Linked DNA regions of Coturnix japonica. The protein of the gene in region 1 interacts with the protein of each later gene in a pairwise test. Links are inferred from orthologs where the notes say so. Each region holds a gene or a part of one and is shown on either strand. Other genes may lie near its edges.

Region 1 (9,853 bases):
GATTTCACCTTTCACAACAAGAAAAGTCCTCGGCCTCTAATGGGTGCAGGAAGGGGCCATCTTCTTTACTAAGCATGTGCATAGACTTGCTTGCCTGCAAGAGAAGCTTAACTCCATTCATACACAAGTACTAAACAAAACTCATGCTTTTGTTTAACCATAAGCGTTTTAGCAAGAACTCTGGAAAACTGAGTTGAAAGTGATGCTAAGAGATCACAGACTCATTCCCTTGTCCAAGAGGGATCAGTTCTACCTAACTTACCTTTAGTTGCTCTTTGTCCAGCATGTGCTTCACAAAATCCAGCAATGCATACGCTACAGCTCCTCTGTGCCATCTAAATGCTTCTACAGATGCTTGCCACCATGTTTGCATCATAATTGCCAAGGAGGGACAGCTTTGCCTGTACAGGTAGAGAATTTCTGGGACACCTCATCCTACAAGATTCTCCAGCCTTGTTTCTGTCTGCTCCCAAACTCCATTACCCTCCTTCTTGCCTCCCCAGCTCCTTCTTTTCTTCCCTGCATCCAGAACTTGACTATGGAACTGCCAGAAGAGGGACGGTGCGTCCCTACAGAACATGCTGAAGGATATAAGGTGCCACCCTCCATCTTAGACTCACTCTTCACTATTCCCCCAAGGAGTGTTTCTGATGAAATACCAAGATACGTGGCTTGGTGAAGAGGAAAGCCACAAACATGGTTGAAGCAAAACCAAGACTTTGTATTATCTGTGTTTGAGCTCTCTATTTTCCTCCTGATGGCTGAAAAGTTTCTTTAAGGAGAAGGATTCAACTGGACTGGTCGTGACAGATAGTTGAAATGGAGCACAGCAGGGAGCTGGTCCCCTCCACAATGCCCCTGCTCTGCTCAGTAACTCAGATTTGCAGGGGTTTATAGGGATGATAGAGACTCACCTGGAGATGTGAAGCCATGGGGTTGTCTGGAAGGTGTTTGCACCTTGAGGCTCCTCAATGAGCTTCCCCATAAGAAGTGTGGTCTTCCCATTGACGAGGAGTGCCTTTCAGCTGGCTTATGGGAATGAAACTCCTGACCTGGGAAGGTTTTCCATCTGCCACTTGCAAGATAACCACAGAATTTACACTCTGTCCTTCAGAGCTAATGTAAGGTCCAAACTCATCAGTTTATTAACTACAGACAAGGAAGAGACGTTCAATGAAACACTAATAAAACATTACCCTGAAATCCTGTGGTTCTGTTGAAGCCCAGAAGCCTGCAGAGAAGAGGCCAGAAATAGCACCTAAGAACCTGAGTTTGGGGTGAAAGAAAACATGAAGGTGTTTCTCCAAGAGCACGCAGGACATTAGTCAGTCTCCTCCTTGTGCTGCGTTGCTTTGAACTCCTCAGCCGAGATCTCTTGGGATGCAACTGTGATCTTGTCTGTGACAGAGAAGAACACACCCCAGAGGTGCCTCTTGGCTCATGCACACATTTCAGATGTTTAAAACTAACCTGGTCAGCCCGAGGAGGAGGGAAGCAGGCAGCCTCCTGGAGAGGAACAAAGGTCCAGACCAAACGTGCAGCATTTCTCCCTCAGTGCTTATGCTCCCAAAGGCTTTTTCTGCCTTGCCCTTTTACTCCTTGTGTTGTCTTCAAAGCCAAAATTCCTGGCTGAAGTTCTCTCCTGTCCATAAAACACACTCCTAAGTGCCCTAAAGGAGTCTGCTTGCAATGCCAAGCAGAAAAACCCTGTGAGATATTAAGTCTGGTGATTCCCTGGCTCACATCCCCTTAGGTTACCTAAATGACAGAGTTGGGCTAACTGGTTTTCTGCTTCCCACACAGCCTTAAAAACTGAACACTGAGGAGCATTTACAAAGACCCTGATAACAAGACATCTGCTTTCATGAGGTTCTATGGGCTGCAAGGACAGCTCAACCTTTTCGTGGTAGAAATGAGCTCTTTTGCCACTCCTTTTACAAGCAGTTGAAGTTCAGATGCACCTCGGATTGCCAACAAAGCATGAAGCAGCAGAAATGATGCATGAAGGGATACTTAGAGGACATGAGAATGGCAGTCCTACCAAGAAGTTCAGCTCAACCTGAAAATCTGGGGTTACATTTGAGCTCTGCTTTCCTTCAACTGATAGGAGAAGCACAGAGACCCCGCCTTGTTAATGAAATAAAATACAAGTATTAGAGACTTACATAGTAAAACAAGAGTTGCTATTATTACTGCTACAATTTATTCCATTGCAGCATGTCTGGATGTCCAGCTGAGGACCACTAGCCAGATAACTTCCAGAGGTCCCTTCTAGCATCAACCACACAACGATAGGCCTGAATTTGTGTATTTACACACACACACAAAGTACAGAGCTGAGAACCATCTCTTCCCTGAAGAGAAAGAGCAAAGAGCCTGGTCCTGCAAAACGCTTGAGCGCATCTACCAACGTCTTTGCAGGAGTTGTTCCCTTAAAGCTCAGCATTAACCATACACATAAACCGGGATGCCAGCACACATCTGGGTTGTGTCAAACCAGATATCATTGCTACGGCTCCACGACGAGATGGGAAGATGAGAACTGGGATGGAGAGAGAGGAAGGGGTAGAAAGGTCATTTATCACTTTTAAATGTCTTTCCTCCTTGTGAAAGTGCAATATCTTGAATTGCATTGATGTTTTTTGTTTGATAAATTAATCCAAAGAGATCCATATTTCACTTGCAATTACATGGGCTGATCAGACACCTTCTCCGATCAGGAGGAGCTCAGGAGTATTGCAAGGGAGCTTTCGAAACCAATCAACAACTCTCAATGTAACTGAATACGACAGCAGTTAATATGACTGAAGCTGTGACTGTGCCAGGGGTGGCGTTCGGTTTTGTTTGTTGGTTTGGGTAGTTGGTTTGTTCTTTTCTCATACATAAAGTTGGAAGATTCCCATGTCAGCTGGGGAAGTCCCATGGAAACAGACACCGATTTGTAAGGGGGAAAGAGGGAAAGCAACCAACTGAACAAGCTGTAATTATTTAAAGATGTAAAAAATATCTATGTTATGAAGTAGTAATGGCTACCAATCCACGTAATGTCTACACCTTTAGAACTAATGGAAATAAAACAATAATAATAAAACCAAAAGGCTGCTGCTTGAATCTTGACTTTCCTGGTGGGCTTCCAGGGGAGGATTGGGGGTAATTGAACGTGTATACAGCGTACCTGGAAAAGCAATGCTTATTTTAATGCATAAGGAGAAAAACACCCCAAGGTGTTTTCCACCCTGAGCACAGAGGGAAAAGGATGAGTTCCTATGCTAGGAGGGCACCTTCATGCCATCGTAATTCATCTTTTTGCTCTTTTCACAGACATGGGCTTGTGGAGCACATTGCTGATTTAGCCTAATGGCTTTCAGCTGAGCCCACAGATGCCACCCATAAGCTGAAAGTGCACACAACCCTCATACAATAACCTCCTCTGCCTGGTAGGGCATTTAGAGCCTTTCCCAGTTCAACCAGACTCTGGGTCCTGGTGTAATTGGTGAGGTGGGTGAGGCCAGCACTTGAAACCTCACTCATTTCTTCCTAAGCAGCCAGTGGAGGAGCTATTGCTGTGTGTTAGTGGGTGGAAGGGCTTTCTTTGTAGCAGTGTAAGAAGGGATTTTTTGGGTGTAAAGGATGGGAAGAGGGCAGTGCTGGTGTGGGTTGAGAGTGTTGGTGAAGTGACTGAAGGCAAGGGAGTGGTTCAAGAGCATGAGGTAGAAAAAGCTGGCAATGGAATAGGGAAGAGGGGAGGAGGCTGCTCAGTCTGCTGTGTGCAGGTTAATGGCTTGGGGGCTGGGTGTAGCATTTGGGGCAGGGGAATGTGCAGTGAGTGCTTGCTTTGGGGGATGGAGGGGGTCTGCATTGTGTGTGAAGGTGTTGGGTGACTTCCCTGTATTGTGCTGCTTGGTGCCTGGATAATTGGGGTAAAGACGTGAAGGAAATGGGCAGAGCCCTTTGTATCAAGAGCTGATCCCAAGGATTTGGACTGCAGCTGGCACCTTTAGAAGCAGGCATGTCTTCTAGGTGGCTCTTGACCTGTTACTGGCTTTTTGCCTGCAGTCTGAATGTGGCATGGAGCTAAATGGAGCTAAGGTGTGATTTGATTACTTCCTGCCCTAGGAAGCGCAGGGATTAAGCTCAGTCTTCTGTTGCTGCTAAAGCAATCATGTTTGTATAACCAGTTAATACCTTTTTATTTCATGTCTTAGATCCAGATAATGTTTTCTGACATACTAAAAGGCTTTGGCTCACTGCAGCAAGGCTTTATAGCTGTGCTGCCTTGCCCAGCCCTATTGAGGTACATCCACACCCCACTGCAGCTCATCACCCTGTGTAGGTGGCTGCTGGCTTCTGCCTCTTACGGGCTGAGAGCTCCAGTGGGTGAGGATGTGTCCTTGCTCAAGCAGAAGATGGGTTGGAAGGGGCAAAAGCAAGCCCCACTGAAGGCTCTAGTTTCAGTTGCTGTGGGCTGTTGCTTCCCTGTGTTTTTTAGCTCTTTTTATCAGCTGCAAGTTTCCCTTCAGCTCTAGGGCAGCAAGTGTGAGAAGGAGAACCATTTAGAGATGCCAGAGGGCCCATCAGTGAGGAAGTTCCAGCTGCTGACCTCACGTTTTGTGGGGCAAGTGGTGGCCAAGGTGGGGGGAAGCAGCAAGAAGATTAATGTGAATGACCTGAATGCCTTGAGGCTCCAGGATTCCCAGGTGAGCTGTGCTGAGCATGACCATAGCAAACTGTGGGCTGGTCTGAGAGAGAAGCCACAGCTGTCCTGCATCTGTGCATGAAGGTGTATGGTCTGAGAATGGCATCAGTACCTCCCACTTCTATCTATCTATTTATTTTCCCCCTCCAGGTCCATGGGAAGAACTTATTCCTAGCATTTGTGGCAGCCAGTTCTCCCTTAGGACCAAGCGTGGAGGAGACTGTGCTGCAAAAACAGGCTGTTGCAGCATCTAGTTCCTTTGTTCAGGGAAAACAAGAGCAGGTTTGCACTCAATCGACTCCTCCCCAGGAAGAAGAGCTGCAGGAACTGCAGGACTCCAGAGCTGATGCCCCAAGTGCAGCAGGGGAGCTGGGAGGCAGTTGGCTGCGCTTCCACTTTGGCTTGTTTGGCAGCATTCGGGCAAATGAGTTCTCAAGAGCAAGCAGAGCCAATAAGAGGGGGGACTGGAAGGACCCTACACCCAGGTATTTGGCAGTCCCTCCTTCTGTCCGTCTCCTCCTTCTTTCCCCTTGGTGTTAAAGGTGGTGACATTGTGTGTCTTAAGTAGATGCGAGTCGTGTTCAACCAGGGAGTCATCACTGGTTGGTTTGCCTTGGGTGTGCTTCACTGTCTTGGTGTTATGTGTTGTTCCCTTAGTAAGAGGTTTTCTGCCCTCTGCCTACTCCAGCCTCAGCATCTGACTATTAGACTCACTGTATTATTATTATACTGGATAATCACTGGATTAATAGCATGCATCTAAGAGACAGCAGTGAGAAGACCATTTGTAGGAGCCCAGGTCACAGGTGGTGTATTAAGAGGCACTGGAAATGGATTAACAAGGGGTAAATACTGAAGGACAGTGTGGACCCAGCTCTTATGAACTGTTTAATTTGAGGTTATGGAGTCTCAATATCTACTTGTACGTCTTCCCATGCAACTGGCTGTAGGGATCATCTCTGTTTGCTGCTGTCTTCAGAGCCTCCAAGGCAGCAGGAGGGATAACTGTCCATGAGTTGTGCAGATTTAGAACCTTAAAAGCTGAACTGCTTTCTCAGCAAGCCTGGAGAGAACCGAATATAAACAAATGGATTAGGGATGTTTGTGGCTAATGATCTCCTCTGCTTCTCCCAGGCTGGTGCTGTATTTTGAGAGTGGAGGCTTCCTTGCTTTCTACAACTGCCGAATGCACTGGTGCTCATCTCCAGTGGCTGATCCCACTTCTGACATCCTGTCTGCAGAGTTCCACCGTGGCCGGGCATTGGATGCCCTCCGCACATCCCATCCCGTCTGCTACACCCTCTTGGACCAGAGATACTTCTCAGGGCTGGGTGAGATGCAGAGCACAGTGGCAAAGCAAGGAAGGGGAGGGTGGGATGCCTACACCCGGATCTGCATGTTAGAAGTTCTAATCTTTAATGTTATGATGTTGGGTTGATCTGCTGAGAGGGTACACAGTCCTTTTGGTGGACCTTCAGGCTGAAATCGTATCGTGTTGAATAGTAACATCCTTCCCATCTCCTTATTTCTGACCCTTTGCAGGCAACATCATTAAGAACGAAGTCCTGTACCTAACTAAGATCCATCCTTTAACACAAGGATCTCTCTTGGCTCAATCGGATCTGGAGCACCTGCTTGATTGTGCCATCAGGTTCACCTCCGACTGGCTGCAGAGCAAGCTGCAAGGCAAAGGGCTGCACCTACACATCTATCAGAAGGAGCAGTGTCCTCTTGGGCACAAGGTGATGAAAGCAGCCCTAGGAGCCCCGGGTGGCTGGAAGAGGCTGACATGGTGGTGTCCTGAGTGCCAGCCTGCTGTGCTGTCAGGGGGTGGGGATCTGGCTCTGGGTGATGAGTGACGTGGCTGTGTTCCTGTCTTTCTCTAAGGTCTTGTGTCGTTCAGTGTTAGATAATCCCTTGTCTGCTTAGAGATGGGTGTGCGTTATACAGCAATGGGGTGTACGTTATACGGTGACCAGGTGTGGTTGCAATTAAATGGTCGTTCCCTCCATCAGCTCTTAGCAGCCTCCTTCCAAAGGCTGAAAACAAACCTCAGCAGCGCTCGGTGCTGCTCATCTCTGCCCACCTCTGATCTGTGTGTGTCCCATTGGTAAGGATGGCAGTGCTCATTAAAACCCGTCGTTAAGTTAATTAGAAGACCCCATAAGGACCCCATAGGACCCCATAAAGAGCCCATAGGACCCCATAAGACCCCATAGGACCCCATAAGGACCCCCCGAGGATGCTCTAAGAGGGGGCTGAGATGAGGTGGGAGGCGGGGCAGCCATTATTAAGCCCCTCCTCTCGGCCACGCGAGTGCCGGTGGGCGCCGTCGCCCAATCAGCTCCTTCCGCCGGCCGTCACACCAGCTTCGCCGCTCTCCTATTGGCTGGCGCAAGGCTGGTGCGAGCAGACGTCACCCAATGAGCTCTCCTCACGCTCACCGAGCCATGGGACGAGCGAGCTGATTGGCGAAGGGGGCGGTGCGGCTCCGCCCATTGGCTGTTAAGCGGGGGGGGTTTGAGGTGGTGGGCGTCGGGAGCGCGCACGGGGAGCGGGAGCGGGAGCGCGCGTGGTGGCGGTGTGACCGTGATGGAGCTGCTAAAGAAATGGCTGGGGCACCCCGAGGACATCTACCACCTGCTGCGCTTCAAGATGGGCGGGTACCGGGCTGTGATGCCTCGTATGGACCCGGTGAGTGCTTATGGGGGGGTCGGTTGCTATGAGCATCACCAGCTTCCTTTCATTGCGCCGGGTTGGGCTTTCCATTGCATCGCATGGGCTGTGAGCAGCGCAATGCTAAGGAGCATCGCGGCTCTTTGGGACGGCACGCAGCCGCGGTGCTTTGCAGCAGCTTCCTGCTTCTGGCTGTGCGTGCATCATAGCTCCTAGGAGCATTGCATAGCCGGGGTTGCTTTGCCTGTATTATAGCTCCTAAGAGCATTGCATAGCCGGAGTGCTTTGCATGTATCATAACTGCAAGGAGCATCGCACAGCTGGGATGCTCTGCCTGTATCACAGCTGCTGTGAGCATTGTATAGCCGGGATGCTTTGTATGTATCATAGCTCCTAGGAGCATTGTATAGTCGGGATGCTCTGCATGTATCACATCTGCTGGGAGCATCTCACAACTGGGATGCTCTGCATGTATCATAGCTCCTAGGAGCATTACATAGCCGGGGTTGCTTTGCCTGTATTATAGCTCCTAAGAGCATTGCATAGCCGGGGTGCTTTGCATGCATTACATCTGCTGGGAGCATCGCACAGCTGGGATGCTCTGCATGTATCACAGTTCATAGGAGCATTGTATAGCCGGGATGCTTTGCATGTATCATAGCTCCTAGGAGCATCGTACAGCCGGGTTGTTTTTCATGCATTACATCTGCTGAGAGCATTGTATAGCCGGGATGCTTTGTATGTATCATAGCTCCTAGGAGCATTGCATAGCTAGGGTGCTTTGCATGTATCACAGCTCCTAGGAGCATCGCACAGCAGCGGGATGCTCTCCATGTATCACATCTGCTGTGAGCATTGTATAGCCGGGATGCTCTGCATGTATCACAGCCGCTGAGAGCACCCCACAGCCGGGCTGCCCTTCAGCAGCACCCCATGCTCTGTATCAGCCCTGACACTCGGGTACCCCGCACCGCTTTTTGCACCGTGCCGCTTCCCCCTGCTCCCCGTGCTCCCGGTACATCGCATTACCCGCATGGCAGTGCTGGCAGGGGGCGCGCCGCTCTTAGGGGGCCGGTCTCGGGGCGGAGCCCCCTCCCTTAGCCAGCCCCCATACCCCACCCCCCCGTTGTGCCCATGGCGGCCAGCAGCAAAGCCAGGGCTCTGCTGAAGCGCACGTTGGCTCTGTCCCCCCCTCGGGGCGCACCCCGCACGGCGCTGGGGAGGCTGCGGGGCGGAGGACGGAGGGGACAACGCAGCTCTGCCGCCTTCCCCGGGCTCCCCCCGGCCGTTCGCCTTCAGCCCCCCGCCTTATACCCCCCGTTGTGCCCGCAGGACTCGCTGGGACTCGGACTCCGTACCTGTTATCGCTACCTCAATCAGACCAGCCGTAGCTTCGCCGCCGTTATCCAGGCTCTGGATGGAGAGCTGCGGTGAGTGGGGTTGGGGGGTGGTCGAGGGGGGACTGCAGTGCTCCCGTGCACTGGGGTTGTGATAGTAGGAGGGCTCTATGCAGTGTCCCCAGGCTCTTTGGCGGCGTGGCTGAGCAGATCTGGGTGTCCGTAGTATTTGCATGCATTTGGGGTGTTTGGGATAGCAGCAAGTTTGGATCATGTAATAGTGCTGGGGGTGTTGAGATAGCTGTGGAGTTTGTACAGTGTCCCCATAATGCTGTGGCTGCTTGATTTGTATGGCAGGAGGTGGCTATGCAATATCCCCAGGCATCAGGGCTCCATGTTTGAGCTGCTTTAGGCTCTGTGCAATGGCCCTGAATACTGGGGGTGCACGGTTGGGCTGAGCAGGGGGTGTGGAGTCCATGCATTGCCACCAGGTGTTCATGCTGATGGCCAGGGGTGTCCATGTACGTGTCTTATATACCAGCACTAGTTGGCTGTATTGGGTGGGAGGTGTCCATGCTACGCTGGGCCACTGGGAAGTGCTCTACCACATTGAGCAAAGCTTTCCAGGAGGTGCTCAGCTCTGCCCTACTACGTGCAGCAAAGCATGCACGTTATCCCAGCAGAGCTGCTCAAGCACGATGCCTCCATTCTGCTCCCTATCAGCTCCTGTGTTCCTCAGCCCGAGCATTGCAAGCTGTCAGCCAGCAGATGGTTAAATGCAGCACTTGGGCAGCGTGTTGTTTGTGACACCCTGGGAATGTGTGTCCTGGCAGCTTCAGAGCTGCCTTTGGGTGCCTGGCTGGGAGGGGTGGAGAGGCACAGGGGGAAACAGCCAACAAAACATGGGGCTGAACCTTGCAGGAAGGGGTGTGTGGGATCAGCTGCCTCCAAAGCTTCATCTGAAGCTGCCACAGAGGTTTGCTTTGTGCTCACTTTTGCTTTACAAGTTTTGATAACCTGTGCAGCAAATCTTCACGTGGTAATATTAACAGATGATGCAAGACTCAGCTTGCCTTGAGATTTTTGTGCTCACACTTTCCCTATTTCCTTATATTCTTAGCAAAATGGCTCTTCTCAATACAGA
Region 2 (9,893 bases), about 92 Mb from region 1:
GTTAAGTGGATAACACCTTTTGCAAGCCCTCAAGGGGAAAAAAACGGCTTGTATTAAAGGTTTGAATGAGTGATTGTTATTCCCTGCAGGTCAACCCAGTGCTTCTCTGATACCACCACAGTCTAGGAGTGTTCATGGAAGTGTAGTGTAATTGTGCTCAGTGCTCATGGATAAGGATTAGAGTTTTGATGGGTGGACTGTTCAATGGATGAAGAGCTGGCTGCAGGACCAAGTCCAGAGAGTGGTGGTCAGTGGCTCAGTGTTTGAGTGGAGTTGTGTCCCCCAGGGGTCGGTGCTGGGCCTGATACTTCTAATATCTTCATCAATGACATCAACAGTGGGTTTGAGTGCACCCTCAGCAAGTTTGCTGCTGACACCAAGCCATGGGATGCAGTTAACACACCAGAGGGATAGGATGCCATTCAGAGGGACATAGGCAGGCTGAAGAGTGGGCCCAGGTAAACCTCATGAGGTTCAACAAATCCAAATGAAAGATCATGCACCTGGGTCAAGGCAACCCCCATTATCAATACAAACTGCGGGATGAATAGATTGAGCACAGCCCTGCTGATAAGGACCTGGGGGTACTGGTTGATGGGAAGCTGGATGTGAGCCAACAACATACCCTCACAGCCCAGAGAGATGATTGTATGCTGAGCTGCATCAAAAGCAGTGTGGGCAGCAGGGTGAGGGAGGAAATCTGCCCCTCTGCTCTGTGCTGGTGAGGCTTCACCTGGAGCACCTCGGGATAGGAGGGATGTGGACCTCTTGAAGTGCATCCAGAGAAGGGCCGTGAAAATGATCCACAGAATAGAACACCTCTCCTATAAGGGCAGGCTGAGAGAGCTGGGGCTGTTCAGCCTGAAGAAGAGGAGGCTGTGAGGTGACCTAAGAGTGGCTTTTCAGTATCTAGCAGGGAGCAACAGGAAAGAAGGGAACAGACTCTTTAGCAGGGTCTGTGGTGACAGATCAAAGGGAATTGGTTTCAAGGTAGATTTTGGGTAGATATAAGGAAAAAGTAATTTATACTGAGGGTGGTGAGGCACTGGTTCCAGTGCCCAGTGATGTGGTTGATGCCCGTCCCTGAAGACGTTCAAGGTAAGGCTGGATCAGACCTTGTGCAACCTGATGAAGCTGTGTTGTCCCTGTGCATTGCAGGGTAGTTAGGCCAGATGTCCTTCAGAAGTCCCTTCCTACGTTAAGGATTCTATGATTTTAAAATAAACAGCTCACTCCTTGTGAGGTTGCATCATAAATGAATAAGATGGTGTGAGAGCAAGGAAGTATTTTCTGTTTTCTGTTGGGGAAGCTGAGGCTCAGAATTAAACAACTTGCCTAAGAGCAGAAGGGCTGACTTGCCAAGAGCCAGATTCCAGTCTCCTGAGTCAGAGCCTTGTGCCTTATCCACAAGACCAACCTTTCCCTTGTAGCATTTCCTTTCTCTCCACCCTGTTTTGAGGCGAGGAACAGTAGCATTGTTCTATGTCAAACAAATTTAAAGCATAATACAGGAGTGCTCCCAGCAGAATGGCTGGAACAACCTTTGAGTTTATTATTAATCTGGAAGCCATGACTTTTCTTGGAATGGCTTCTGCATTGGAACCCTCCTCAGCAGGAGCAATAACCACAAAAGCTTTAACCACTAAAAGACCTGCCAGTCTTTAAATAAGAGGCTTTTGAGAGTAAAAAAAATAGTAATTAGAAACAAGAAAAAAACCAAAACACAACCACACAACACATGCTTAAAACAATAAAAACTTTTCAAAAGGCATGGCTGGAAATTACGATTCAGGGGAGTGTGTGAGACATGAAATATCTGTCAAGAAAGCAGGACTTCTAACGTGGTTCCATAAGTGGTCAGGATATTTATTTTTAAAATTGATGCTTTTTATTCATAGTACATAGTACTATGGATACTAGGAGAGCCTAGTTCTGTAAGTGCCTTAATGCCTGCTTGCATACTTAATCAGGCTGGTGACAAGTGGCTTATCTTTGATATTTCAGGTAGCTGGGAAGAGAAAATAAAGGCTTAAGTTTGCCTTTGCTGCTCGGTGGCAGAGCAGGCTTCAGCAGACTTGATTATGCAATGCCTGTGCTAAGCATTACTAAAGGGCCATTATCTTAGGGTTGACAAGTATCCTGTCAATCACTCTGTTTTCTTTCGCTGTAGGAATTGTTTTTGGGTTTGTTTTTTTTTCCCCCACTCTGTCCTTTTCTCTTGCTGCCCCTTAACATCCTGGGGTTGTTCAGCCTGGAAAGAAAAGGCTTCAGGGAGACTTCATCGCAGCCTTCCAGTATTTAAGGGCAGTTTATGACATGAGGGTAATCAATTGCTTACACAGGTAGATAGTGATAAGACAAGGGGAAATGGTTTTGAACTACAGGAAGGGAGATCTAGATGACTAGATGTCAGGGGGAAGTTTTTTACTGAGTGGTGAGGTACTAAAACTGCCCAGAGCGGCTGTGAATGCCCTGTCCCTGGAGGTGCTCAAGGCCAGGCTGGATGGGGCCCAGAGCAATCTGATCTGTTACTCGATCTAGGGGCTAGCAAACTTGCCTGTGGCAAGAGGGTTGGAATCTGATGAACCTTGAGACGTTCTATGATTCTCTGCCAGATTAGGAAGCTGAATTCCTTGCAGAATTTCTTACAGCAGTCTCAGTGTTAACAGGGTCAGCTGATAGAAAGCAAAAAAAGCAGGAGCGAGGACTCGTCTTTGGATAAGTGGAGAAAAACGGGATCATAAACCACTTTAACTGGAAGACAGGAAGTGAAGCACTGGATCAAACTGGTCTAAGAATTCTGGTATCTTGCCTCTGGCTACACAATAGCCAGCTGACAAAAATAAGTGATGCACCTGGCTTTTGTTATGCAATGCTACAGGAGGGGAATTCCGTCCTATTTGCAAAGATCTGCACATGCCCAAAGTTATGACATGTTCTTAAGCTTTCTGTCAGTTGCTGACTGGGTTTCTGTGATTACTAGTACTACCCTGCACTTCCCAAGTTTGCGTCACTCTCATGGGGATGATCCCATGCCATAAATTCAGCTTGAGGCAGAGTAAAACTGTACAGGGTTGTCACTGGAGTAGAGCATCGTATGCTTTCATGATTTTGAGTAGGGCTTCATTTATTTGGTTTGGTCTTTTGCCTTAGAAGGCTTCTCTCTTGCTGTGCAACTTTCCCCTCATCTAGGAATATAAGCATATGGCAAAAGAGCTACACTGGGTTTGTTTTGTCCCAAAGATATGCTCTTTGCTATGCATTTATTTGTGTCTACTACTGCACAGAGAGAAATGGGCAAGAAATTTCCGCTTGCCCTGTCCTTTCTCCAGTCACTTTGTTCAGGGATTTCCTGAGCCAAATCCATCGTATTCCATTGGTAGGTGCAAATAGATTTGACACAGTGAAGCACTTCTATTGCTGGCTTTACTCTTGCTTAATTAAAGCTTGTTTTCACTTTAGAGGAATATAGATTGAATTGAATTCTTTTGGACGTGAAGAAGTACACCTCTCTTAACTTTTCCTTAAAAAATAAGACCACAATGAACCATAAAGCAACAGCTCGTGTCATAGTGTCACAGATATCGCCGTGTGTTAGCTAATTCCTCAGTCTCTGAAGTAGTCCTGAGGAATACCTCTGGTAGCCTGTTCCTGCAGGCCCGAAGACTTACACATCAAAAGAACTGGGTACTGATGTTTTAGTCATAACAGATGGCGGTTCTATTGCTTGGAAAATTGCCTTCCACATCAGCGTACGCCGTGTACCCTTGTAACATCGTTTTCCTTATGAACAGGGCTTCTGCTCTGAGGAACAAAGTTCCCCAGGTGCCTCTGTCTGAGCTTATTCAGCAGTGCTGTGTTTAGGGCAGCACCGAGCTGTGTCCTTCCAGTCTCAAATCGAACGAACCAAGCCGGACCGGCCCAGCCCCCGGCTCGCACCGCTCCTCCACCGCGCCCAGGCCGAGCCGCCGTCCCGCGCAGGCCCAGGCGCTGCGGGGGCGGGCAGGGGGCGGGCCGCGCCAGGTCGGGAAATTCCCCCCGGAGTAGGGCGGCGGGCGGGGGGAAAGCGGGCTTGGTGTCGTCGGTGTGAGGAGCGGCCCCGGAGGGCAGTCCGCGGCGGCACGGCCCGAGCGGCGGCGGAGCTGTCAGCATGGCGGGTGAGCGGCGGGGCGGGCGGAGAGCGGGGCGGCGGTGGGGAGCGGGCCGCGACTCAGGCAGCGCCCTGCTGCACGGCTGGGGAGCCGGCCCCGGGGGAGGCACGGGGCAGCGCTGAGACCGGCTGCCGCCCTGTTCGTGAGCAGCTCCTCTTCCGTCGCGTTCCCTCCGGCCGAACCCCGTCGGAGGCTTCCGGCCGAGGAAGGAATATCGTGAGGATGTTCATATCGGTGGCAGCGACGCCGTCCTGAGACCGTCACGTCTCAGAACGGGGCTTAGAATTCTTAAATCGGTGCTGCTAAAAACGTTTGGGTGTTCAATAAGTGCTGGTGTGGCGGATCTGGGGCAGGGCCGTCAGCAGGCAGGAGCCATGCGGTGCCTGTCCCGTGGGCGCTCGCTGCCGGGAGGATGCAGCTGCGTAAGGAACATGTCATAAGTGCGGAGCAACAGAGATAAGGGATCTTCTTTGGGCAATTACGTTTAAAAGCATAATCAGGTTGTTGGTTTTATCTTTTTAAGGCTAAGTTAAAACTCACATATCGCCCTTTCAGAAGGTGTTCCTTAGCTGTCTCTTTCAGGCTGGGCAGCATTAGTTGGCGTTATGGGAAGGAGGCTCTCTGCTCTCAGCACCAGCGCTGTGTGCTCTGCTACCCTTAGCAAAGTACAAACTTTCACTCCTGTCAAGCGTGTGCTTGAGAAGGCTGAACTGAAGCAGGAGCTAGTGCTTTCTTCTTGCCCTGAATGTGTTTTCAGTGTAATTAGGAACTAGATAAGGATTTTTTCAGCAGGGGAAGTTCACAACTTCCTGGTACTAGCCAGCTTGTGTCATTGTTTTTTTTTTCTTTCTCTGTTGGTTGTTGTTCTGTAAGGTCGTACGATAGTAAAGAGGAAGTTAGTGAGCCGTTTTGTTGTCGTGTTACGATCTGTGCGGTTCATGGGTTCCGCAGTGGATTACTGCTCTAAAATAAAATGGTGAGTGCGCTTGGGGTTAGATGAGATTGAAGCAGAGTGTTCTATGACAAACCTTCCACCAACTCTTCTTCCTGAGTTCCTCTAAGAGGCTGAGTGCAAGTAGGGCAGGAATGTGCAGGCAGTTGCTGCTGCTGCTCAGAAATGGCCGTTGCTGTGGAGGACAGAAGGGCAGCAGTAATCTCTAAGAAGGTGTGACATCAAAGCTGAAGGGCAACACTTCTTGCTTCTGTGTTTCACTGCTGTCACCTGAGATCATCAGAGTTTCGGGTGATACTTTCACATCTCCCACAAAGACCCACAGCTGCTTTGCTTTCAAGCTTGGTGATTGCTGGAGAGTATGTTCACAGGGTACTACTCCTGGTCATGCAGGAGAATGGCAAATCATATAGTCCTCCTGAAGCATTATTCCTTTGAGCCAAGGAGTAACATGGGACGGACGGGACCCATCGTCCTTCTGGTGGTAGTGTCTTACAGCCGTGTTCCTCCCTGGTGGCACAGCCATGTTTAGCTTCAAACTCATCATGGAGAGGTCTTTGAGTCTGTTGTTCCTTTCTTATTACTCTAACAGATTAAGCAACCTTCTACGCTTAAATAGGAGCACGAGCTGGCTGTGTTCTTGGTGCTATTACTGACCTTACTTAGTCTCTTTATGTAGTTGAGATTTGGTCTCTTGTATTTCCTTTAAAATTGTTTATTGTAGAATTCAGAGCATGGGGGCAACAAGCAAGTAGGTAATAGAGATAGCTGTGTGTTTCTTCAAAAACTAGTGAAGGAGGAGAGCCTTAGGCATGGCTCGTAGTGGTCTGACAAATGTGTGGAAAGGAGCTAGTAAGCTGTAAGGACTGACAGCTCTCTGTGTGCGAGTGTAGGTTGTGAAATAGTTAAACCACAGCACTTCACAAGCACATTGCTCATTTACAGAAATAGGGAACGCCAAACAGACCTCCACTTCACTTCAGAGTGCTGATAATACCTTTGGCTCATGCTGATACTTTCATGTGTTTCCTCTATGCAGAAAACATAATGACAGTGACAATTGTGGTAGAGATGATAATGTGATACTTAAACAGAGAGAGTGAGAACCAAGATTGAAATGAATTTGAATGTTTAATCTCTGGAGGCTGCCGTGTCACAGATTTGCTTTTCCACAGACACACACCTGCAGTCAAGCAGTGGGTTTGCTTTCAGTGACACTTGTTTCAACCACAGTCCCAACACAATCGTTGAGCACAGAGTTTTAAAATAAAGTGCTCTGAACAGGGAAGAAAAAGAGTCCTCATAAGCAAGTGTTAGTAGAGCACGATGGGAAATTGATGCTTAAAGCAGAGAGGATTAAAGACTTGAAGCGATTCTGTTCTGCAGTAACTTCTAACAGAAAGGCTCTGCCTCGTCTTGGCAAACACGTGGGCGTATGGTGCGTCTGGTTAGCAGCTTTGTAAGCATGTGTACCTCCAAAGTAAGATGATTAGTAGGTACTTTGCTACAATTTTGTCATTATAGTGTCTAAAATAGATTTTTAATTTAGTAGATGGATATGTGTCTATGTTTGTGGTACGGTGTTACGTAGGAATGGAGAAGTGAGATTCTTCTCCCTCTTCAATTACGTGATGGAAGTGGGAGGCTGACTGGTACGCTGCCATTGCTCCTCACTGCTGGCAGAAGTTGCCTGTTGCCTTGTCCACTGGGTTGTCCTGAACAGGATAACATAAGTAAATGTGAGTGAAGTTATAAAGCTGTATGCTGGGGAGTGAGCTTGGCTCTGGGAACTCAGACTTCTCATCTCCTGAAACCAACTTTATGTCATGTCTCGGCTTTTTTGTTACTAGTGTCCATCATACCCACTTTTGCTGGCATCACTTATTTTCCAGAAGGAGAAAAGGAACAAAGCTTACGTAAAGGGAAGGCTAGAAAAGATTTGGCAAGTGCCTATGGAAGTGGCCATACCTGTAAAGGAACTGGACCTTGAGCAGTGTCTATGCATGCTTGATGTGACAGCTCCTTGTTTGTTTTGAGACGCTGGTTTAAAATCAGTAGTAGATGATCAGTTGAGATACTGCATTCTGGTAAATTGTTATAAAAGAACGTGTAGAGTCTTAAACTGCTCTTCTCTAATGCTTGGAACAAAACACAACCTGGAGTTGAAATGCTTTATGGCTTTTTAAGAAAGTGTTCCTTTTGAAGAGGCATGTGTTGTTGGAGGCAGTTTTGGTGTCAGAGCAGCTTTCGCACTCTGCTATTGCACAGCTGTCTGTCAGTGTGTAGTGGCTGAAATGTGTGTTCAAATAAGACCAAGCTAACATCTCAGAAATGGAGTTCTCCCATTCTCTACTTAATTACTTTGTAATATCTCCTCTGATCTGGGGTGTGAACTGCTGGAGCACCGTAAATCTTCTACAAATCAGCAGACTCCAGTCATAAAGTTCAAGCTTTGTGTTGGCAGATATTGTAGGTGCAACAAACGAGAAGGTTTCATTATGGAGCTAAGACTGTAATCCACTTATTTGACAAATTCATATACTAAGTACCTTAGGCTAACTAGACCTTGGGCAAAAGGAAGTAGGGAATCTTTTACCCTTTTAATGCTTTCAATATATTTAATAACTATTTTGCTTTTTATGTTGAAGTCTGAGTGCTGTTTTCACATTGCCTGTTGTGTTTCTGATGTTCGCAAGCCTCGCCTGAGTAGGATGCTATTATACAAAGATGACAGAGAGCTCAGTAGATGTTTCCATAAGCTGTGTTCTTCTGATCATAGCAGAGCCGTGATGATTCAACCTCTACAATATTTACTTATCCTCTGCTGTTTGTTTTTCACATGCCATCTCACTGTTGTCACTATTTGATTGACTGTCCTGTTTGATGTTCACAGTGAGATACATTAAATAGCTAGTTACTGCCTGGCAGTCACACTGCTATAAAAGTGGTGATACTTTTGCTAAGGTAATGTCTTTCTAAACCTTTCATTGAAGAGATTTGTTGTCTGTCATTCTCATCTGTAACTCAAGTTTGAAAACATCGTGAGACCCAATAGTTTTCAGTAAGTGATTTGGAGAGTTACTGCGACTAATAGCTGGCCCTGTGGGGTGTGGGCAGCTCAAGCTGTAGAATTCAATACAAGCCATCAGGTAATTTCTGAGCCCACAGTGATGGTATTCAAACCAGTAGACTTTTTTTTCTTCCTTTCCTGATTTGCATAGTTTCTGCTTCAATATAATAGGAACTAAATCAGTATGGACTGAGAAAAGATCTTCACTTTCAGAGGGCATTCAAGCAAACATAATATTGATGGAACCCGAACTTTGAGGAGAGAACCGTATTATAATAATGAAGAATGTTAACCATTCTCTTGAAATGGTGTATTCTGTTGTATGAAACATTATTTCATCAGATACGTGCTCTCTAAAAGCTAAAAGAATCTAAAATTCTGGGTGAGATGGAGGGGAGGGTGTCCTGTTTATTATTAATATGGCATTGATACCTGGAGATTTAATGTAATGTCTATTAACACCATTTACCCTATCATGTGCATTCATGTTTTAAAAAACATTTATCATCTGAGAAGACAAATCAAGTGAAAGATGAATAATATCAGTCAAAGAGTGGAGACCTTACAGTTTTCACATAGCATTTAACCATATAGCCTGCCTTCTGCTTCTTTTTAAGCTCTAAATTTAAACAGATTTGTTTTGTTTTAAGGTATCTCAGAGCCCTACATTGAAATATTTGAACAGCCCAGGCAGAGGGGCATGCGTTTCAGATACAAATGTGAAGGAAGATCAGCAGGGAGCATTCCAGGAGAACACAGTACTGACAACAACAAGACATTCCCATCTATACAGGTAATTAATACTACTTTTATCCATAAGTTACCAGTGCCCATGTTTACATTGTGCTGTAGCTACATGTTGTCTTTGGTGCAGTAAATAAAATGGTTTTCATTACATATTCTGTTATTCTTTCCTTGGCATGCAGATGTAGTTGCAGTGCAGCATGAAAGAGTTCTTTGCTTCTAGACATTAAAGATTTTGTTCCCATTTACCAGAGAAGGAGGAGCCACAGTGATATGTAGCAAAGTGCCAGTAGAAAAGGAACTTAGCAGATTTGTTAAGGAATCATTGAGTTATTAACTCTTTCTGCATTTACGTTTGTTCTAGTTCCTTAGTGATGTGATTTGGGCTTGTTTTTACTATTTTGATTGTAATGTGAATTTTGGGAGAGTTTTGAAGGAAGTTGTCTGCTTACAAGATGTGAAAAGGCCAGTCTAGGTGCTGGGTGTAAAGTGGGAAGAAACACTTTGTACAAATGAGCAAAGCGAGAAAGTGACTTGCAGCAGATGATTCAGTGATTAGGCTCTGCAAAAGAAACCACTGTGAAGTGTGTGAAATCAGAAGGGATACAGAATTTTAAAAGGATTTGAGAAAGAGGAAATAAATGGTGAGAGCACCTGCAATGAAAACTAGTTGGATGACTGTGTTATGGTTAGGTTGGGAAATCCAGAATTAAGGGGTTCATACTAATCTTTGATCAAAGCAGGGCTGAACATATGGACAGTATGGATTTTGGCTGTTGTTTTCTTTCATATGCAGAACTGAGGAATGTAAGAGATGCTAGACAGGTTGGGTGAAGGAGAAGAATTTCTGTTTTCCTATTTGATGTTTAGGTTGGTAATATTTCCTTGGTTACCTTCAGTCTGGAGAAGATCCTTCAGAGATGAGATTATAGTAGAAACTAATACGTGAATGGAAGGTAACGAGTACTTGCCATCT
Region 3 (9,893 bases), on another chromosome or scaffold:
ATGCCAAAGCATTTGGAGTGTTTAAAGATGACCTTTATTGCTCAGTTCTGAAAGCCCCTGGAGGGTTACCAGCTGAGGCCAGCATGAAAGCTGCTATGGAGATCATCATTTGATAGCACAGCCATCTCATTGCTGGGCACAGCCAGGATCAGCTCTGCTGACTGCTAATAACTGCTAGCTGCAAATCTACTTAATAACACCAGTGACTCTTGTAAAGCTTCCCTGACACACCTGGTTGGATGGTGCACTGCATCATCTCCTTGGGAAAACTGTAACGCCTGACACTATTTCCACCCAAAAGGATTTGGGGGTTGGAGGCTTTGATGCCCAGTTGCAAAGCAGCCAAGTTGCAGATGGTTCAGGGTGAAAGCTGCCCAACACAGCACAAGATCTGGGTTGTAGTTATGGGTCAGTATCCAGAGAGATCCCACTGGGTCACTCTTGTGTGAATTAGATTGCTATACCCTTCTGTTAGCAGCTTCTGTGAAAGGGAAGATTTATCATTATCGAGTCATGATGCTTTCTGGACCAGGAGCTGCTGTTGGTCTGTTGGTCACCAAGAGCCCCCAAGTTTTCATCTCCAAATAAACAGCTCACAAACTTCCAGACCCCAGTGGGTGCTGCCTGGGGTTGGCTTAAGAGCTCATAAGGAGAAGAGGAACCCAATTCCAGCTCTGTGTGCCCACACAGTTGTTGGGGTAGTACTAAAGTTATCCACTGAAACAGCTTTATTCAGCCCTTTGATAATCTGTTTTATCATGCAGATATGTAAATTTACATCCAGCAAACCTGCAGACCAGGTTAAAACCAAAGAGGAATGCATCACAGTGAGAAGGAATAAAGATGTTCTAACTGTGCCATAGGTGCAAATAATGGTTACCTTTCAAGTATATGAGAATACTGAAAATCATGTTTAATAGCCATTCTATGACATGCCAGTGTAGAGTTCTGGTTAAAATATGGTAAAATTGCATTAGAACACATTAAACAAAAAGACAGAAGATATGGGAACAGACACTATGCTTTCCTAAAACATAATCATTAATTATATTACAGGTTTGGATTGAAAGAGAACCAGTGTGCAAGAAAAGGAGTGTGCAGGTCTGGGTCCTGTGGTCATCCTATGCTAGAAAGCTGCTTTTATACACTCTTTCAGCTTTGAGAATGGCTTTAAAGTGTCCTGGAATCAGATGGACACTCTCAGAGGTGGAGAAGATCATATATGGAAGCAAACCAGAATGGAAGGATAGGAATGACGCATGGGCCGTTTGGTAAGCATTTGGGAGCCTGAACAGCATTACTCCTGCTATATATACAGTGGTTTTTCTCTTTTTTTTTTTCTCTTATTTTTTTTTCTTCTAAAGGTAACCCTATGGCAGTAAGACAGTCCCATTCACACAAAGCTCAAAGTCCTGCTCTCCTTTGCCTTATTTTGTGCTTTCCATTTTCCTCTACCAGCTCCAGCACTGCGCACTTCTCAGTCCGTGACCCACAGGGCCACCATATGGGGCTGCAGTGTCCTTCTGCAGTGTCACACCCTCTCCAAGCATCTCCTTATGGCACTACTCAGAGCTGGGGGATGTGGTGGAGTCAGCGTCCTCTGCATCGGGCTCAGGGGGGGACACTGGTTGTCCACCCTTAACACGCTTCCACTTCATCCTTCTGTTCTGGAACCATACTTTGACCTGGAGGATGAAAAGGATATAATGAGTTATTGCCTCCAGCAGGCTGATTCCTGTGTGTCGATAGATGTATTTTGAGGAATTCTAGAGAAAAAACTGGAAGGAACCTTCCAGGTTTAAGCATTCTCTATTGAATGAAGGTGTTCCAGGCAGATGTTTCAAAGACCAGCCAGCATAGCACAGTGCTTTGCCTGGAATCCATCTTCATCAGCTATACCTGGCAATCCAAATGGCTCCAAATGGCTCCTCCAAACAGCTCAGGATGTGTCCCAAATGGCTTTTTTGTTTGTTTAGAGAAGCAGAACTGCAAGTATTAACTGCTTACAGAGGTTTTTAATGGATGTCTTTTAAAAGAACATGGAGTTTTCATGTTAAAATCATAGAATTATGAGGCTGGAAAAGACCACTAAAGTCACCAAGTCCAACAATCAACCCAATGCTACTATGCCCACAAAACCATGTCCTACAGAGTAATACACCTCTGTGCCATTGCAGCACAGCCCTGGAGTGTTATAGCATTAGGGAGAAGCAGCAAGGGGTGGGGTTTGAGTACCTGTCTCTCAGTGAGGTCCAGGTTCACGGCGATCTCATATCTCCTCAGCCTGGTCAGGTAATTGTGATGGGCAAATTCTGCCTCCAGCTCCCGCAGCTGCTCCTTGGTGAATGCTGTCCTCTCCTTCCTCGACCTGCTGCTGCCTTCTGCCTTGCTGCTGGAGGGCTGGCTTTCTAAGAGGCAAGCAGGTGTGCAATTTGCAGTTAGATTGATCTGTGTGAATGTGTGCCCTACAGCGATGTCAAAGCGCGTTGTGTCCCCTTGAGCTCAGCACTGTCAGCCTTTGCTTCGAGGGGTAAAGTTGGGATGGGGTGAACCACTTGAACTGCAGGAGCAAGGGCCAAAGGGAGCAGGAGGAGGAAGGAAACTCTCACTGCACCCACTCAGCACTCTTGAGTTTCCTTCCCTGTGCCTTTCACATTGTTCCTCCCCTGATTTTGGCTGCAGACTGAAGGCAAAGGGAGCACTTTGCTGTGAGCACGGTGTGTGATGCAATATAAGTGCATGGTGCAGGGGGAAGGGAAGGTTGCTGAGTGAGCACCATAGGCTGGCATTTGGCCTGAGTACACTGGGAGGGAAAATGAGCAGTGCTGGGGTAGTGGCATTCCCTGACTCAGCACTCAGTCCTGCAGGCGTTCAGCTGCTTGCAAGCTGAGCAGAAACTGTTGGACAAATGGCACTGAGGGTGTCACTGGTCTTCATCTCCAAACAATGTGAATCATCTGAAATAGCCTCTGGGAACAGAGCAGGCAGTGCCCCACTTGGTGTTGAAAGGAGATGTATGGCAGAGAGGCTTAGCTGGCAAACTGCTTTGGGGAAGGTGAAAGGACCACACAATGCAGGATTTGGGCATTTCAGGGGGTTCTCCGATCCCTCAGAGCAGCTTAAGCTCAAGCATGGGGGTCACCAATGGTAACACAGGTTGTTTGGTCATTGTGGTGATCCACAGCCCTGGTGGAGGCACCTGGTGCTTGTTATTCTGCAAACCACTGTCAGTGCAGTTTTTCCCTCAGCAGAAGGCATAATAAAAATCCAAAGTATCTGCATAACGTTGCTTTCTCCCCCTAGTAAAGAGTTTGAGGGCAGATTTATTGCAAATCAAGTAGTAAGATGGATTTTGCTGTCACACGGGGCATAAAATCCTGAAAGCTCTTGGGAACGTTGGCCAAGTGAAGTGACTTCATGGGGAGCTGATTCATTTGGCAGCCAGCGATAAAGTAATAACCACAAGTAACTTCAGTGGGCACCTCATGGAGTGGAGCACACGGGGTGGTGACAGATGGAGCTCTGCCCCCAGATCACTTTAAATTGCTGAGGGACTTCCCTACACTTTTCTTGCTCAGGTTTTCAGTTTCTACCTGCCCTTATGTTCTGCTTTCTATGCCATTGTGGCTGTTAATGGGACCTGAAAGCATGAAGCACCCTCTTTACCCAAAGGCATGACTTAGCAAAGTTGTCAGAATCACTATGTTACTACACATCATTACAGCAATGCCTATTTCTTGCTGTCTTATCCTTCAGCTCATGCCTTAATCATCAGCTAAAGTTGGGGTATCCAAACTGCCTGTCTGCAGTTGGCCATTCTCAACAACATTCAACGTGTGAAATCAGAGGGAGGCGTTTCTTTAGACTCAACCTCCACCCAGTGGGCATCCCAGAACTTTCAGTGCTTATCTTATGCTTTTAAAGGCTAATTTAGTTTAGGGTTAGGGCTTGGAATTTCCTTGCTGCTTGAGTGGTGTTGTTAGGTCTTTCCTTGGTAGTAAATGAAAGATGTATGAAGCCCAAAGTCATTACAACACCTTTCAGCCTCTTTAATGCTGTAATTGCAAAGGGGTTTCTATAAATGCTTTGCTAAATTGTACAGCATAGAATAGAGGGTGGCAGGCACAGGGGCAGCTGTGAAAGCTCCCCCAAAGCCAACTGACATCTTCAGGTCACTGCTGTGCCTGGGACACCAGGGCTGAAAATGGCATCTAAATAATGAACACTGGTAGAGGAAGAGAAGGGGATGTGTGTGCTCACACGTGAGGTCTTACTGCAGATACTCCTATTACTATCACACAGTGAAACCGTTCTGTAGCTGCTCTGAATCTATTGGTTCTTTAAAGAAAGTTTTGAGGATTTAAGTGCATTTTGATCTTTTCTACATCTTAGAAACATTTCCATGTCTTGGCTCTGAAACCATAAAATGGGGATGCTGGAAAATACCCTCTGCTTCTCAATACTCTGTGGTTTGCAAATGAATACTGTAGAAAATGTCTGCATGGAAGCATCTGAATCTTAACAGCTTCCTTAGGAGAAAGCAATGTTCTGCATATTTCACATATCGGGAGAACTGAAATAGTAACAAACCAGATGTCTTATGTCTGTAATTCCTGAATGCTTCAGGAAGAAGGTGCTTTGTTGGCAAGGATGGCACAATGAAAACTGATTGTTTCCCATGTTGCTGGGCATTCTACTGGTGGGCAGTTCAAAACCCCAGAGTGGCATTCCCAGCTAGCACGGGCAGCTGATGGGACCTTAGCCCTTTGATCCCCATTCTATCACCCTTGGACTGCAGCAGAGCAGTGGGATGGATCTGCCATCCTAGGGCTCTGAGCGCAGCATGGCACTGAGTTGGCACTGAGCTGCTGCCTAAAGGGTTGGGTTCAGCCAATAAGGAGCAAAACTCAAACACCAAAGGTCATCAAGGGACAAGCAACTTCATTTCCATTGAGATATTGCATAGTTTTCCCTAGTCAAGAATCACAAAATATTTCCTCCATCAGCTTTACTCCATGAGATATTCTCCCCATCCCACCCCACACCCCCACTTCCACGCCACCTACCTGAGTGCTCCTTTTTCCTTTTGGATCCTTTTCTCTCTGTCTCCATCGTGCTGTTTACTGGCACCTCGTAATCTTCACTTACACCCGCTGCTGTGCTCACGACGTTGGGGCTCTCTGTGTCCCCAGAGGCCAACACCAGCCCTGGGCTCAGCAGTCTCCTGGCCTCTGTTGTTGCTTGCTGCCACTCAGAGTGAGGACGGAAAGCTGGGGGCTGCTCCTCAGGTGGGACGCAGTGGGCAGAGCTCAGCAAGCAGGAGGCTGAGAATTCAGAATAAGCAGCAAAATCCACCTTGGGGTGGAAGGAGAAAGGGGCTGGGGGGCAGTGACCCAACCCTGGGGCTGTGGGGACGTCGGCACCCCGCAGGCACCCCCAGAGTGGGGCTGGGGACTGGGGGCTGCGCATGCAGCTGCCTCCGGTGGGGTTCATCCTCGTCCCACGCTCGTCACTCAGGTTCCTCAAGCAGGAGAGGAGAGGAGGGGAAATGTTTCCAGATTTGACAGCCCAGATTTCCTCCCTAAACGACACTTTGGCTGGGGGGTTTGTGAGGTTGGAGGTTTGTTAGTTTGGAAACTCTTCTTGAGGTGTTCATTGTCCCAAATGGATGGAGGAGGCGATCGCCCCAAACAGAGTCCCAAAGCTGATGCTGGAGTCCTTGTGAAGTGCTGGACATGAGGGAAACACTTTTTAAATACTATGTTGGGGAGAGAGTGACAACTTTGTGAAGTGAAATGTGAGAGAGGGGAGGGAGGGGTTAACGTACACACACCCGCTCCCTCCAACCAAAGCAAAGCAGCACCTATTAATCATCCGAAACCTTATATGCACATCTAATGGGATTTGCAGATGGAGACTTTTAAAGAAACAATGTCTGTATTTTTTTCTTCCCCCCCAAAAAAGAAAAAAAGGGGTAGGGGGGAGGGAAGAGCAGTGCACAAAAAAGGGCTTTAATGTTTCCCTGTGACACTATGAAGTTATTTTTATTGCACTGTTAACAAAATTCCCCGAGTTTTGAGGTTGGAAAAAGCCCTTCATACGGAATTCAGCAGATTCCTGAAGCCAAGAAGCGAAGTGGGAAATAAAAGTAAGAAAGCACTTCACTGATTATTTACTGATTTAAGGCCTGGTTGTAACGTTTTGTTTTAGGTGACTTTTGTGCACGTGCAAAGTTTTGGAGGGATTATTGTTCTTTTAGCTCGGTAACACTTGTATTTGCTGATGGTTACTGCTGGTGGCAGTTATTCTTTCTCTATCCTACTTTATGCCACTCCTTCCTACAAGGAAATCTGCCTTTGTGCCAATGTGAGACGTGTTTTTCATCTTTTGCTGAAAGTTTTATGGTTCTTCTTAACACAAAGCAGATTCGCAGACCCCGGAGCTGCCGCTGCTGCTGCATGGGTGTTAGCAGGGAATCTGCTCTCCATCCCTCTGACACAGAGGGTTGGCACCTGGGAACACCCCAAATATCACTGCAGGGCTGCACTGGGGTTACTGCAACTGTTTGTGTGTTTTTAGGGGTAATTTATACAGCCACATGTGCTGTGTTTCTGTAATCTGCTTGCGACCTGCTCCATTGCTTTGCTATGCCTCCCTATAGGTGTGCGCCTCTTTCCCTTTATCCCACCATTTGGGCTGAGTTTGTGCTCTCGTAGACACAGAGGGATTTATCAGATGGGCACAGAGCCTCCGTTTTTCTTTCTTTAAGTGCTTTAAGTGCTACTTTTATTTGGCTTCTGTATAATTCAGAGTTGTGACATTTAAAGGAATCAAATGGAGGGAGAAGTCTGCTCATCCCAATCCCTGCTGGGTTATAGCTTGGGCTTTTCCAAGCAATCAGGTGGGCTTAGCCCAGATCTTTCTGATCAAGAACATCACCTTTTACCTTCACATTAATGTGACTCTCTTGCAAAATGCCAAACACAAATCATCCTCCAGGAAGGGCTCTCCTACATAATTCAATCTGTTCAGAGAGCAAACATTCAGACACGTTTCCCACTGCCTGGCAGGAGGAAAAAGAACAGATTGCTCTGTCTGGAAGGCCAGGTGGCAAAGGATGTGTGGATATTTTGGGCACCAGAAGGGTCCATGGTATAGCCTAGAGTGGTTTTGTCAATGCAGAATATTTCACTTGTGTTCACCCACCGAAGTCATGCTGGGGTAGTAGAGATTTGCATGAGCTCAAGCCTAGGTCTGTGTTTTCCAGCCCTACTCCCAATTCCAGCTAATTAAACAATCGTCTACTTCTCATTTATGTCTATGCATGAATTTTGAGGGAAATAAAAGAGAAGGGAAGTTTATCTGCCGATGTATTGTTCCATTTATCCAGGAGAAGGTTCAGGTTCCGTGCAGGAATCCCATGGGACCCCAGCAGGGCTCTGTTCATGGCACACAGTTCAGTTCTTGCACATCACTTTGCACTCTCAGTTAAACTCGGACCCCTTTTTCCCCACAGAGCTCTTTCTGTTGTTGTTCCTCTGACTTCAGATGTGGGAAAAGGAGACGGCAGACCCTCCTCAAATGTGGGAACCCCCCAGTCCCGCATTGCCCCAGCACTCTCTGCAGCTGCTGCTGTCACTCAGCAGCCCAGCGGGGGCTTGTTTGCCCTCTGCATCTTTCTGACACTTCATTCCTGAAGGAAGCAAAAACAACATCCCTCCCCTCTTGCCCAAGCCCATTTGTTGGACAAGGCAGCCACCTTTAACCTCTGCAGAGTCAACATCTCTTCTGCCAGACCCCAGGTTGGTTGGGAAACATAGGATTGATGGGTGCCATAGGCTTCAAACCCAGGAACAATTAGGAACAGTTTCTTCTCATAGGGCTGCCCAGGGGGGTTGTGGAGTCACTGTCCCTTGAGGTGTTCAATAACCATGTGGATGTGGCACTGAGGGATACAGTAATGGGCATGGTGGGATGGGTTAGGATCTACATAAGGATATATCTACATAGTAAGATCTGGGTTCAGTGTCAGACTCACATATCTGCAGGAACAGTAACCACTGCGTGTACTGAAAGCTGCTGTCCCAATTTATAGAGGCTGTTGGTTTGTAGGTATTGAGGATGGAGCTGTCTGCTCCACCATGTGTAAAGATGGTGGCTGGAGAAATGAGAGTGGGCACATGAGTAGTAAGCAAAGGGATAAACACACAGAGAGATGGAGCATGAGCAGGAAAGAGGGGAAATCGGGTCCTGGGGGGGCTTCACTCCACCTGCAGAGGGCTGGGGCTGAAAGGAAATGCCAAGGCCAGAGATGGGCTCTCTGGGTTCATCTGTCAATTTTAATAGTTTTCTCAGCATCCTAAAGGAATAAAAGAACAGAAAAAGTGTAAAGTTTGGGCTAATCGAGACAGTGAACCTGGGAGGGAAAGATGATCTCCTTGAAATGAAAGCTAAAGAGCTGTGTGGTTAAAGAGCTATATTAAAAGACATTAGCTATTGGACAAAACGTCAGGAAACATTAACTTGCATTTTGCTGTAATCCCCTATGGCAAATTAGTCTGGTTTAAAAGGCCTGGATTTGCAGGAAACCAGTATGAGGGTTTTTATGGTTTCGGGGGAGGAAATGGAGTGAGAAAGGCTGTGTTACCTCTAGAAAAGAAGTGGTTTGTCATGGTGATATCAGCTGTTTGATAGATTCACCTCTCCAAACTTCTAGGAATGGGACTGGTGTCTGTTTGTAGGCAGAACTCATGCAGCAGTGATGTGACCTGGGGCCAATCTTACTAGAGAAAAAGCCCCAAATATCTTCTGAGGCTGAAGTATAGCACATACCCTGGGTTACATGGCCATTCATGCTTTAAGCCTGGAAGGATTTTGCCGAAAAACATAGTAAAATAAGTTTAAACTGTATATATATATAATCCTATCATCTGTTGTTCGCCACATTTTCATCCTAACATCACTCTCATGCTTTAGCTGCAAAATCCACAAGCAGATGAAAGCAGGTTCCTATTGCATCTCCTGAGGTTTGAGGCAAACACCCCTGACTGCTTCTGCACACGAAGGCGACTGGAAAGGAACAGCAGTGGAATGAGCATTTCCCTCCCCAACACATAGGCTGAGAACAGTGAGCAGCGACTGAGAGCTACACACGTCCAAGCAATGTTTTGTTAAGCAAAGCATGGACATGGGATTTGTGAAGCTGTCCATCCCAGAGATTAATGCTGGATCTGCATTTCTGTCCAACACAGTCAGTGCAATGGCAGAGAATATTGAGTCTGGGTGATCTTGTGCTTGATACATTAATTAATCTGGATGGTCTCTTTGCTATGGTGCTCTTAAAAGCGTTATCTCAGGGGCAATCTTAAGAAAATACTTCAGTTGGCATTGATTTAATGACTCGAGCTTTTATCCTCCACCTCCTATTTCAGCTGTTCTGTTCCAAACAGTTGACTTAAAAAGGAAGGGAGAAAGGATGGGGTTCTGTTACTGAATTCATTTGGAAGCTTTGCTGTCTCCTCTTTCTTCCTATTGCTTTCCTTGGGACTCCAGCAGCAGGAGCAGTGAGAGCAGCATCACATTTGTTCCCTATTTGCCCTCAGTTATGTTGAGCCATTCGCAAGCTGCATCTGACTACCTGCACTCATTGCTCTCATACCTCCAAAGAGACTGACAGATCTGCTTGTTGCATTTGCCCTTTCCTTTCTTCCAAAGCACACCTCTCATTTCTCAGCCTATTTAATTTCCTACGAACACGAGAAATACGGGTGATTAAACGCTCACTCTGAATATAGAACTTTTCAGAAGAGCTCATAATTTTCACCTCTGCAAATGATGAAGAACCTGGCAATGCAAAATATGGTATTTTAAAATACTTTTTTCTCCTTTTTTCC

Evidence for each region.
Region 2: the proteins of NEIL2 (region 1) and REL interact in binary tests that used the Homo sapiens proteins (3 or more experiments, as listed by UniProt). The two-hybrid records come from large-scale screens. The link is inferred for Coturnix japonica from reciprocal best matches to the Homo sapiens genes NEIL2 and REL.
Region 3: the proteins of NEIL2 (region 1) and MEOX1 interact in binary tests that used the Homo sapiens proteins (3 or more experiments, as listed by UniProt). The two-hybrid records come from large-scale screens. The link is inferred for Coturnix japonica from reciprocal best matches to the Homo sapiens genes NEIL2 and MEOX1.

The regions. Positions count from the first base shown.
Region 1 is NC_029518.1:97,933,116-97,942,968, forward strand, and holds NEIL2 (endonuclease 8-like 2), read left to right. Parts: upstream 1-3,441; 5' UTR 3,442-3,498; intron 3,499-3,560; exon of another isoform or gene 3,561-3,602; intron 3,603-4,520; 5' UTR 4,521-4,559; coding exon 4,560-4,697; intron 4,698-4,846; coding exon 4,847-5,181; intron 5,182-5,830; coding exon 5,831-6,027; intron 6,028-6,238; coding exon 6,239-6,555; 3' UTR 6,556-6,592; downstream 6,593-9,853. UniProt on the Homo sapiens protein: Involved in base excision repair of DNA damaged by oxidation or by mutagenic agents. Has DNA glycosylase activity towards 5-hydroxyuracil and other oxidized derivatives of cytosine with a preference for mismatched double-stranded DNA (DNA bubbles).
Region 2 is NC_029518.1:5,505,138-5,515,030, reverse strand, and holds the start of REL (proto-oncogene c-Rel), read left to right. Parts: upstream 1-4,014; 5' UTR 4,015-4,150; coding exon 4,151-4,157; intron 4,158-8,823; coding exon 8,824-8,966; intron 8,967-9,893. UniProt on the Homo sapiens protein: Proto-oncogene that may play a role in differentiation and lymphopoiesis.
Region 3 is NC_029542.1:2,904,263-2,914,155, reverse strand, and holds MEOX1 (homeobox protein MOX-1), read right to left. Parts: upstream 5,757-9,893; 5' UTR 5,494-5,756; coding exon 5,067-5,493; intron 2,409-5,066; coding exon 2,236-2,408; intron 1,686-2,235; coding exon 1,563-1,685; 3' UTR 891-1,562; downstream 1-890. UniProt on the Homo sapiens protein: Mesodermal transcription factor that plays a key role in somitogenesis and is specifically required for sclerotome development. Required for maintenance of the sclerotome polarity and formation of the cranio-cervical joints.